Linked DNA regions of Oryctolagus cuniculus. The protein of the gene in region 3 interacts with the protein of the main gene of each other region in a pairwise test. Links are inferred from orthologs where the notes say so. Each region holds a gene or a part of one and is shown on either strand. Other genes may lie near its edges.

The links.
Region 1: the proteins of EGFR (region 3) and protein S100-A4 interact in binary tests that used the Homo sapiens proteins (3 or more experiments, as listed by UniProt). The link is inferred for Oryctolagus cuniculus from reciprocal best matches to the Homo sapiens genes EGFR and S100A4.
Region 2: the proteins of EGFR (region 3) and APBB2 interact in binary tests that used the Homo sapiens proteins (3 or more experiments, as listed by UniProt). The link is inferred for Oryctolagus cuniculus from reciprocal best matches to the Homo sapiens genes EGFR and APBB2.

The regions. Positions count from the first base shown.
Region 1 is NC_091438.1:44,755,314-44,759,059, forward strand, and holds protein S100-A4, read left to right. Parts: upstream 1-1,169; 5' UTR 1,170-1,296; coding exon 1,297-1,380; intron 1,381-1,561; coding exon 1,562-1,717; intron 1,718-2,976; coding exon 2,977-3,141; 3' UTR 3,142-3,272; downstream 3,273-3,746. UniProt on the Homo sapiens protein: Calcium-binding protein that plays a role in various cellular processes including motility, angiogenesis, cell differentiation, apoptosis, and autophagy.
Region 2 is NC_091433.1:34,561,050-34,564,695, reverse strand, and holds part of APBB2 (amyloid beta precursor protein binding family B member 2), read left to right. Parts: intron 1-254; coding exon 255-370; intron 371-2,391; coding exon 2,392-2,571; intron 2,572-3,646. UniProt on the Homo sapiens protein: Plays a role in the maintenance of lens transparency, and may also play a role in muscle cell strength. Involved in hippocampal neurite branching and neuromuscular junction formation, as a result plays a role in spatial memory functioning.
Region 3 is NC_091447.1:57,844,534-57,848,179, forward strand, and holds part of EGFR (epidermal growth factor receptor), read left to right. Parts: intron 1-2,648; coding exon 2,649-2,717; intron 2,718-3,292; coding exon 3,293-3,411; intron 3,412-3,646. UniProt on the Homo sapiens protein: Receptor tyrosine kinase binding ligands of the EGF family and activating several signaling cascades to convert extracellular cues into appropriate cellular responses.

The DNA.
Region 1 (3,746 bases), on a different chromosome or scaffold from region 3:
CCCGCTGAGGCCCTTAAGCCCCCTCTGCTGCCCCTCACTCACCCCTGGACCCCCTGTGCCCCACCCTGAGGGGTCATCCCTGAACCTGACTCCCCCGTGTTGTGCCATGTCACCTCTATCTCTGCACCCCAAACTGCAATATTCATCCCTGACGCCCCCCTCAACCCCACACACCCCCTCCTGCCTACTCTGTGAGTCACAAGCCATACTGAGCCCCACACTGCACTCCCACCCCCACTCCACCAGGACCTCGCCCCTTGATGTACCTGGGCCATCTCACACCTGCCACCAGCCACCTGCCACCCCTGCCTCTCCTTTTCTCATGGCCGCTGGGACTACTTCCTCTGCAGCCCCCAGCCCCAGGCACTGCCCTCCCTCCCCGGCTCCCTGAAACTCTTGCTGGGCTGTGTGCACTGGGTGGTGCCTGCTCCATCAGCTCCCTGCTGGTGCCCACTGGGGCTGGCCCACTGCCCATGGGGGCCTGGCCGGGTCAGGATGCCCGGCAGCCGGCTGAGGCCATGGAGGGGCTGCCCGACTCACCACATCAGCCCACAGCAGGAGGGCAGTGTGCGCTCCCCCATCCCCTTGCCAGGGGCAGGGCCTGGCTGGGGTATAAATAGTCAGACCGCTGGGCTCTCCCCGCTCTTCCTCTCTCCCCAGCCCTCCTCCTCTGTGCTTCCTCTCTCGGCTTGGTGAGTTCTGTGGGCCTGACTGGCACGCGAGGGTGTCACGGGCTGAGGCTGGGTGGGGGAAGGACAGCCTGGTGGGGGCCAGATGTGCTGAATGGACCCAGATGCACAGGCTCTGGGGTGCATGGAAGAGAGAAAAGGCAAGAAGAAAAGTGTGCAGCAGCTGGGTTTGAGCGCCCCCTCCCCGCCCCAGCCCTTCTGAGAAACTGGGGCTTGTGCAGTGTGTGCCTGAGCTGGAGATGTGCACCCTGCTGCGGGGTTGCTGGGCTGCACAAGTGTGCACCCTCGGGTGCAGGAAGAAAGCAAAGGCAACCGAGGGCTTCCTCTGCTCCCGCTCTGTGAGCCCCTGCTCTGCACCCGGCAGCTCAGCCCGGCAGAGCCCTGGCCTCCCACCCAGCCCTGGCACCCCTGCCTCCGCCACCTCACCGGCCCCTCCCAATGACGGGCTGGGTGCCAGGCTGCCGGTTTTTTCCGCTGCAGGCCCCCATGCAGGCCTCTAGCTGCCGCGCCCAGCGCTGGGAGGGAGAAGAATGGGCTGGGGCGGCCGTTGTGGCTGAGCTGTGGGAGTGGACGGGTGAGGGAGGGGTGGAAGAACGCTGTTGTTGGGATGAGGCCTGCAGCCACCTCCGGAGCTTGCTGCCTGGCTCCCTGGAGCCCATGCCACGAACCCCACAAAAGTCCACGGTCCCAAGTATGCATTCCCCCCCCCCGCACCCCTCCCCACCAATAGCTGTGCCCGCCTCTCTGGGTGTCCCCGAGGGCCAGAGAAGTGTCATCAAGGGCCTCTTGAGGGATGGGAGTGCAGGCGGGCATTCGGAACACATGGCTGGGGAGCAGGGGAGGATAAGGGTGCCCGTGCCTCCCGCCCTCAGATCCTGACCGCTGCCATGGCGTGCCCCCTGGAGAAAGCCCTGGACGTGATGGTGGCCACCTTCCACAAGTACTCGGGGAAAGAGGGTGACAAGTTCAAGCTCAACAAGTCGGAGCTAAAGGAGCTGCTGACCCGGGAGCTGCCCAGCTTCTTGGGGGTGAGTGGGTCCCCTGGGAGCAAGCACCCTCCCCCATCCCCAGCCCCCAACCCCCTGCAGGGGAGGCGCAGGCTCTATGAGGCTGCAGGCTTTTTGTGGAATATCAGCTAAAGCTGGTGTTTCTGACTGTGTGGGGAAACTGGGGAGCAGGGAGCCTGCATGGGGTGCAAACACGGCCCCAGCAGAAAGAAGGCTGAGAGAGAACAGGGAGGTTAGGGGCCAGACCCTCTGTCAGGTGCTCTGTACATCTTAAGTGAAAGGGAAAAAAACAAAAACAAAAAACTCAGAGTTAAGTATTTCCCAAGGTAGTGCATGTACAAAACTGGTCTGGACTAAGACCGCCGACTGCCCATTCTTCACTCCAACAGTGAAGGGCTGGAGTTTCCATTTGGCTCATAGATGTGCAGACACAGGTATAGAGACTCAACACACCTAAGATGTCCCCCCCAACAACAGCGTCTACACCTGCATCAAGCAGTCCACCATTTACAAGAGGGTATTGCAAAAAGTTCATGGGAAGTGGCATGAAAAAGCAAGTTTATTTTGGTGCAAAATTTTGAAATCTATAGTTTTAAAAATAATACTCATTTTCATGAACCCTTTGGAGAGTCTTGGGAAGCATGGGTTTCAAACATTTTTGTACCAAAAGGAACTTATTTTTAAATTATATTTCCGGGGCTGGGCATGGTGGTACAGTAGGTTAAACTTCCGCCTGCAATGCTGGCATTCCATATGGGCCCCAGTTCAAGTCCCTGGTGCTTTGCTTCCAACCCAGCTCCCTGTTAATGTGCCGGGAAAGTGGCAGAAGTTGGCCCAGGTACTTGGTCCCTTGTCACCCACATGAAAGACCCAGATGGAGTTCCAGGCTCCTGACTGTGGCCTGTCCCAGCCTTGGCAGTTGAAGCCATCTGGGGAGTAAGCCGGCACATGGAAGAGCTCTCTCTGTCTCTCCCTCTATAACTATGCCTTTCAAATAAAAAAAAAAATTCTGTTTCCACAAACTTTCTGCAGTAGCTGGCATATGCTGTCATGATCATTACCTCACTGGATCATGAGGACAACCTCTAGGGAAGGCGTGTGGTCACTTCGTTTTGCACCTGCACCAGGTCCTCAGACGTCCCCATCCAAGGAGTACTCCCGTTGGCGCTGGTGTGGCCCTGAGGGTTGGGGTCCGAGGCTGGGCCCCCCACAGGAGAGCTGCAGGTGCCAAACTGGTCTAGCCCTGCTCTACCCCCGTGGCTTCTGCTTTCTCCCTCCAGAAAAGGACGGACGAAGCCGCGTTCCAGAAGCTGATGAGCAACTTGGACAGCAACAAGGACAACGAGGTGGACTTCCAGGAGTACTGCGTCTTCCTGTCCTGCATCGCCATGATGTGCAATGAGTTCTTCGAAGGTTTCCCTGATAAGCAGCCCCGGAAGAAGTGAAGGCTCCTCAGATGCCGCTGGGGGGCCCGCCCGCTGGGGTCTTCCCTGTCTGCAGTGGGCACAGCACCTTAGTCCCGCCCCTTGAGACATGTGCACCACGCTGAGCAACTTTAATAAAGAGTCTTAACACCTGTGAGGCTCTCAGTCTGTGACTCTGGGGGCGTGTGGGGTTGGGGGCTGAGGGATGTGTGTGTGGTGGTGGGGGGGGGTAGGGCTGGGGGTGCTGGGACTTGAGCTGCTGGGTTGCAGATCCCAGGAGTGAAGGCTGGGAGGGAGCAGGAGTGACTGAGGGTGTGTGTGTGTGTGTGTGCAGGCATGCGTGTGACCCAGAGGACAGGGGTGGGGCCCAGGCAGGGAAGGAGACCACCAGGGCTTGGAGGGCGGGGCTGTGGCACTGAGCCAGCCCACTCACCCTTTCCAGCTCCCACCAACCATGCCTCTGGCCAATCCCTGAACTGAGGTTACTACGATGGGAAGGTCACATCTGTTTCTAGTTGGGGTCTGGAGAGAAGAGAACGGAGCTGAGTCAGGCGGAGGGAGTAGCCAAGCCAGAGCAGCAGGGGGAGGGGGCTAGCGCTCAGCCCCAACATTTGCAGCCTACGCCT
Region 2 (3,646 bases), on a different chromosome or scaffold from region 3:
GGGCAGGGCACCTGCCTGAGCTCCTGTTACCTGGTGGAAGGGGCAGTAGGAAGTTGTGAGGGAACCCTTGTGCCCTCCAGAAGTGGCAGACACTGCATTCAGCTCACGTCCCAGTGGCTTGGCCATGCCACGCTGAAGGGAGTCTGGGAGGCGTGGCCTTCCACTGGGCCAGATAAGACTGTGGGCGGGGTGACCCTGCACTTGAGAGAGATGCATTGCTCTAGGGCTCTCGTGATGATCCTTCCCGTCCACAGGCATGGATACCCTGAACAGTGCCATAGAAAGTCTCATGACCTCGTCCGACAAGGAGGCATGGCCGTCGGTGAACATGAACGTAGCTGATGCTACTGTGACGGTCATCAGTGAGAAGGTGAGCAGGAATCACAGATGGCCTTGGACTGGATGCAAGGGAGCTTTCAAGGCTTGCCCTCCTGGGAGTCATGTTTACTTGGGACTAAAATGGCCTTCAGGGCAGGTGCTTGGCATAGCGGTTAAGACACCAGTCAGTGCACCTGTGTCCCATGTCACAGTGCCCGGGTGCAGTCCTGACCCCGCTTCCCTTCCAGCTTCCTTAATGCAGACACTGGGAGGTAGCAGTGATGGCTCAAATACTTGGGTTCCTGCCACCCCTGTAGGAGACCTGCATGGAGTCCTGTCGTAGGCTCCTGGCTTTGGCCCGGCCCAGCTCTGGCTCTTGTGGGTTTTGGGGGAGTGAAATATCAGATGGAAGATCTCTCTCTCTCTCTCTCTCTCTCGGTCTCTCTCTCTCTGTCTCTGTGTGTGTTAATGCATGTCTATCTCTCAGGTCAATTAACTGATTAAAATGAAGTGATTAAATGGTCTTATTTTTAGCCCTTTCTCTCGGTCTAAAGCTGAGCCCCTGTGCTTCCCTGGGGCTTAGAGACTTGGCTTCTGGTGCTTCTGATTCTGACGTCTCCACGGGCCCCCGAGGTCAGAGCCATGTGCCCAGGGTGACTGAGTGGTGCTGACTGGAGCTCCCCCGGGAGCTGGGGTTCCAGTCCTCGCTAGTGCTTCAGCACTGACTTAGCTGTGCCGCCTGGGGTCAGGGCTCAAAGTCGCATCCCCTAGGGAAGGTCCTTGGTGCTGTCGGCAGGGGTCAGTGTCCTGCGGAGAGGCCAGTGTCAGCCTCAGCCCAGCTTAGCCCAGTGCTGTGGCTGAGGAAGCGGAAGCCCAGAGACGTGAAGCAACTTGGCCCGTGCCACACAGTTGTCCAGCCCAATTGTGGAAAGGCCTGCCCTGTCGTCCCTGCACGGGTCACCTTCACGCCCGGGTCACCCTCTGCAGAGCACAGGCGCCCACTGGCTGCCATGCCGGTTCCTTCAGCCCCTTCCTACCCGGGCCTGCCATGCTCCTCCCCTTGCCACCCTACCGTACCCCCATCTCAGCTCCTTAGGAAAACGCCCTCATATCTTAGAGCAGTATAGTTTGTTAACCGCTCCAATAGAATCCAAGTGAAAGCTCAATAGGTCAAGATGATAATGGCCCGAAAGTCAACATTCTGGATGTGTCGACTGATTCAAACCTTGCATCTCGGGGTGACTGCTGTGGCACTAAGACATTCACATCCCCGTATCAGAGAGCCTGGGCCTGCGTCCCACATCCACTTCTGACCCGGGCTTGGTGGCTCAAGTGATTGGGTTCCTGTTACTCACATGAGAGACCTGGATTGAGCTCCCAGCTCCCAGCTCCCAGCTCCCAGCTCTGGCCCCTGGCCTGAAGCCATTGTGGGTATCTGGGGAGTTATACAGTGAATTGGAGCTGTCTGTCTCTCCCTCTGCTTCTCTTCCTCTGAAATAAATTAATTGCATGTGGTCAGTGCAGAAGAGGTAATGTTTATGACCATAAGGTTGAATTCTCCAAGCAGTTCACACGACTTCATGTGGATACTGATTTGCAAGAAAGGGAAAACATGATTGGGCAACTTTTCGTTTGACCTGGTTTTCGGTAGGATGTGATTGAATGGGACTTTGTTTAGCTTGGGTTGGGAGACTAGAGGAAGAGAAACACAGTGAATATTTTACTTGGGGCAGGGGGATGGGGGACTCACACAGGGCTTGAGCCGCTCGCTGTGCACCTGCCCGGGGCTGTGTGTAAGAGGTGTGTTTGCCACACGGAAACTCGGCAGCCCCGTGGCACACCATGACTGCAGCGTGTTCAGAGCGAGAGACGGAAAGCCAGGATGACGCTCACGGCTGGGCAGCCTGACCACGCAGCCGGCAAGGTATTGCTTTCCTGGAAAACACCCAGGTCCTTTCTGAGTTTGGTCGGGCAGTTGTCGTGTGCTGCCGCTCTGTTGCTGACCCACCCGTTCGTGGGGACTGCTGCCCGGCTTCCCAGGGACCCCGGGGCACTGAACGGTGTCTCTTGCAGAGCGAAGAGGAGATCTTGGTGGAGTGTCGCGTGCGGTTCCTGTCCTTCATGGGCGTGGGCAAGGACATCCACACATTTGCCTTCATCATGGACACTGGCAGCCAGCGCTTCGAGTGCCACGTATTCTGGTGCGAGCCCAACGCCGGGCACGTGTCTGAAGCGGTGCAGGCCGCCTGCATGGTGAGTAGTCCCAGCCCAATCGGGCACTCAGCCTCCCGGGTGCACAGAGTCAGTGCTGGCGGGCAGACACGTGGCCACGCCACACCTGTAAAGGCCAGTGGCCATACATACACATCAACATCTGTCACCAGCAGGCCATAAAGCCCATGCTGGTCCTGCGAGCTGATCACAGAGCCAGAAAGTTCAGTCCCCTGTGTTTGTATTTTAAGCTAAATGTTACTGCAAGAGTCCAAAAACTTCTTTTTTAAAGTTTATACGGCACAAGAGTTACAATAAGCTAAGATTAATTTATTATTGAAGAAAGAATACATTTTTTTATAAGCTCAGTGGAGAGGGGGCTGAGTGTGTTATGCCACCACTTGTGATACCTGTGTCCCATGTCGGAGTGCCGGTTTGAGTCCCAGGTGCCCCACTTCGGGTCAGTACTTGGCCTCTGCCACCCACATAGGAGATGTGGATACATCTCCCAGTTCCTGGCTTCAGCCTGGCCCAGCCCCAGCCTTTGCAGCTATTTAGGGGAGTGAACCAGCAGAAGGGAGATGTCTCTGTCTGTGTATCTCCCTCTTTGTCTGTCACTCTGCCTTTCAAGTAAACAAACAAACAAAAATCCACAAATCTTGAAAAATAAATGCAGTGTAGGCTGAGCGTGCGGTGTTTACAAAGTCCGCAGTGGCGGACAGCAATGTCCTGGGCCTTCCCGGTCACTCCCCACTCACTCGTGGACCCAAGCAGAGCAGCTCCAGGCCCTGTGAGCTGCACGCCCGGTCAGCGCCCTGCACGGGCGGCGTGGAACCATATCTGCTCGGTCCCGTTCCGTGTTAGATACAGACACTCCCCACCGAGCTCCAGTTGCCTAGACTAAGTCGCCGTGCGAGTTTGTGACATAGCTGCAGTAGGCAGTGCTTGTGCGAGCACGCTCCGCAACACTCGCACGAGGACACAGTCACCTGCCAGTGCGTCTCCCAGAACCAGTCCCCACGATCCAGCCACATGTGGCTGTGTTCACAGCAAGGTCTGGCCGAAGATCGAGTAGCCTCCTAATTGGTTAGCCGGTTCATCTGGGGACTGGTAGGGG
Region 3 (3,646 bases):
TTGCTGCTGAGTCTCAAAGTAGCACCCAGGCCAGCTGAAGCCTTGAGACTGACCTCTGTCCGTGGGAGGAAGTTTGTCCACTTTCCCTAGGTGCTTGGGAGCTTGTCCCTGCCAGTTGATCAGCAGAGAAGCCATGCTAGGAGAGCCCCGTGGGGACCAGGCCGAGGTCAGGGCTGCATAGAATTCTGAAGACACGTGGTTCCATTTGCCCCTTCTTTCCATCATCAGCAAGAAGCAACTTCCTGCTTCTCTGTATCCCTGTGACTGCAGCAGATGCTTGGTTTTTGCCCTGAAAGCAAATGAAACCAGCATGGATCTTCAACATCCTCAAACTCACCAAGCAGAGCTTCTGCCTGCCTGTGGGGATGAAAGGCCACAGTGTGAAATCTGCCATCTCCACCATTTTCAAATTCAGTGGCTGCCGTGACACTGCTGTGCAGCCCGCACCACCTCCCTCTCCAGGATGCTGTGCCTGCTGCAGAACTGAAAGTCTGTGCAGTGAAGCAGTGACCCCATGTTCTGCCTCCTGGCCAGCTCCTGGCCTGGGTGGCCCCTTGCTGTCCTCTGTGAATTGATCCCTTGAGTGCCTCACATGCTGGAGCCACACAGCCCTTCTGTGACTGGCTTCATTTACTTAAGCGTGGTAGCTCCGCGATCGTCTGTTGTAGCGTGTGTTGGAATTTCCTTCTTGTAGCTGCATGAGTTTTCCCACCACGTTTTTGCCATGCTTGCTTTTTCCACCGATGGGTGCTTGAGTGACTCCCACCACCTGTCTGTTTCCACGATGCTGCTGTTAACATCCATGCTAAGCCCATGTTATAAACATTTTTGTCTACAAGAGTGACACTCCCTATGCTTGCAAGAAGCCAAAAGCTTCTTTCACAATGAACAATTTTATGTTCTTTGTGTGATCAAGGTTAGCATTTCCTCAGCCAGTTCACAGACAGTAGAAGGTTAAGTTGTGTACACTTATAAAAAAAAAAAATCAGACATAGGCAGGCAATGAAGCCAGTAGTGGTTTGTCATAGGCCAGACAAGAGAGCCCTCAGTGCCCACATCCTCCACAGCATGGATGTGGGGATTACCCATCCAGAAAACGTCAGCAAAGAAAGAGAGGTTCCTGCAGTAACAAGACTGAAATATTGCAAAGCTTTGAGCTGCAGTCCAATATGGAAGGACAGTCACATAGAATAAACATGGATAAGACAATAAGAAAGTTAAACTGGAAGTCCATAAAGAAGTGAGCTTTCATGCCAATAAGGGAAGAATTCATTATTCAACAAACTGTTCTGAAATGACTTAACTCTTAGGGCTTAGCCAGGCTGAAGCCAGGAACCAGGAACTCCATCTGTGCCTCCCATGTGCGTGGCAGGGACCCAAGTACTTGAGCCATCATCTGCGGCTTCCCAGGGTGCATTAGCAGGGAGCTGGAATCAGGAGCAGAGCGGGGACTCGAGTCTAGGCACACCAATGTGGGATGTGGTCACCCTAACCAGCATCCTAACTGCTAGGCCAAATATTTGCCCCAGAAATTTGGAAAAATATTGAAATATAGGGTAAAAAGTAAAAATAACATAATTTCATTATGTAATCAAAACCACTTTTAACACTTCTATGTATTATTTTTGCTTTCTCTGTTCCTCGTCACTTTTCTCTCCCCTTCTCTCTTCACAACCTGTAGCCCACACTGTCCGTGTGACGTTGGTCTTCCATCTTTGTGATTCTGTGGAGCACCAGCAATGCATTTCCTTCCTTTAGTCCTGGTGTGACTTTAAAATCAGTCACTCATGTTGGAGTGGTGTTCTGGTTCAGAATCCACTTGCCAATCATCTGCTTTTCCATTTGAAATCGGATTCTCCTGGTGACTAATTTCTTCCTGACTTGGAGACGCGGGGTTCCACAGGAAGCTGTGTCTATACAGGGAGTGAGCTCTGTGTGACTGGGCTCTTTAGAAAGACAAGTGTGACCAAGCTGCTGTTTCACCACTTTGGTCTTCAGATTTCTCCGTGCCAATAGAAACAAAACTAAGGAGATTAAAACCATGTTGCTGTGATGTAACTTGACCAACTTGACCAATTGCAAAGGTTTCCAGGTAGCAGTTTGTAAATCATCAGCTAAGGTTTGAGATAGCCCCAAAGTCACATCCACTGTTACCTTGTACAACCTTCATGCTCAGTCTATACTGCTCTGCTAGGGTCTGGTGATGGTTTTGATTTCATGTGGTGCTCCAAGTGCCTCAGACAGACTGCCCCACTGGGTCACTCAAGACTGGACACATCAAGGAAACCCTGGGTACATGGCAAGGGCCACTGATATGCTCAGCATGTGTGGGGCCACCAGAACATTCATTACCATAGCCTCAGCAAGGCAGGGGTCTGGACCTCGGAGTTCACATAGCCCCTGCCCGAGTGCCGAGCCAGTAACTGCCCCTGCCTCATTTTCCACACCTGGGAGGTAAATACGAGCAGCTGGTGGGTTGCCGGGAATCTGCAAGTCATCCTGTGACCAACCAGGCAGACATGCAGTCAGAGGCTGTGCCTCCTAGCTAGAACTGACTTAGGTCAGGTCTCCAGAAAAGGCGTCGTCAGCTTCTCATCATTCGTTCGCTTCTACCAGGTCAGACTGCCATTATCACTCCTGTGTTTCAGGCCAGAAGTGTGACCCAAGCTGTCCCAATGGAAGCTGCTGGGGCGCAGGCGGCGAGAACTGCCAGAGACGTAAGCTGGGTTAAGTCCCTGTGGGAGGGCGACCCCTCCCGCCTTGGCCTTAGGAGCAGGTGCACTGGCCTGCGAGACTGAGAGAGCTGTCCAAGCATGGGCCCAATGTTTGCTTCCTGCATGAAACTGCCAGGTCCCACAGCTCAGCCACGTGGCTCTCTGTGGTCTTTGCCTTGTGGAAGATAGTGAAACTCAGCTGTGGTCCTACTGCCATTTTTGGTGCCCTGAAAGCTGAGCACACTCCCTGGGCACAGGAGATGGCATTCGCAGGAGAGCCTGGCTTCCTGTCCCTCTCCCGGTCTTTGTGTGTCACCAGAACCCAGGATCAGTGGCATTTAGTGACTTCCAGGTCATTTTGAAGCACTCGGCACTCCTGAGAGAAGAGAAACCAGTGGGAAGCAGGGTGCAGTAGGAGTGTCCTGACCGTCTCAGCTTGGCTGAACGTGGCTGCCTGGGAGTTTGATGAGCCACAGATACTGTGTCCACAGATACTTGTCCACTGCGATGTGTAGACTCTCTGAGAAGTGACTGGTGCCCTCGCTCCGGGCTCACAGGTGACCTTTGCTCTTTTCCAGTGACCAAAATCATCTGCGCCCAGCAGTGCTCTGGACGCTGCCGCGGCAAGTCCCCCAGCGACTGCTGCCACAACCAGTGTGCTGCTGGCTGCACAGGCCCACGGGAGAGCGACTGCTTGGTGAGACCCAGCTTCCCCACCCGCCCCTCACTCCCCCACTCCTGCCCCACTGGAGCTCCTGGGAGAGTTTTTGTTCATGCTGCCTACAGCAGCCCCTCTGCCTGGTGGCAAAGCCCCTTCATATCCGGCCTCCACCACTCACTCTCTGACCTCTGCCTCAGCCTCCCCTGCAGTCTGTCCCAGACTGAGCACCAGCCATAAACACCTGTCTGTCATGAGCATTTCTTGCCCAACG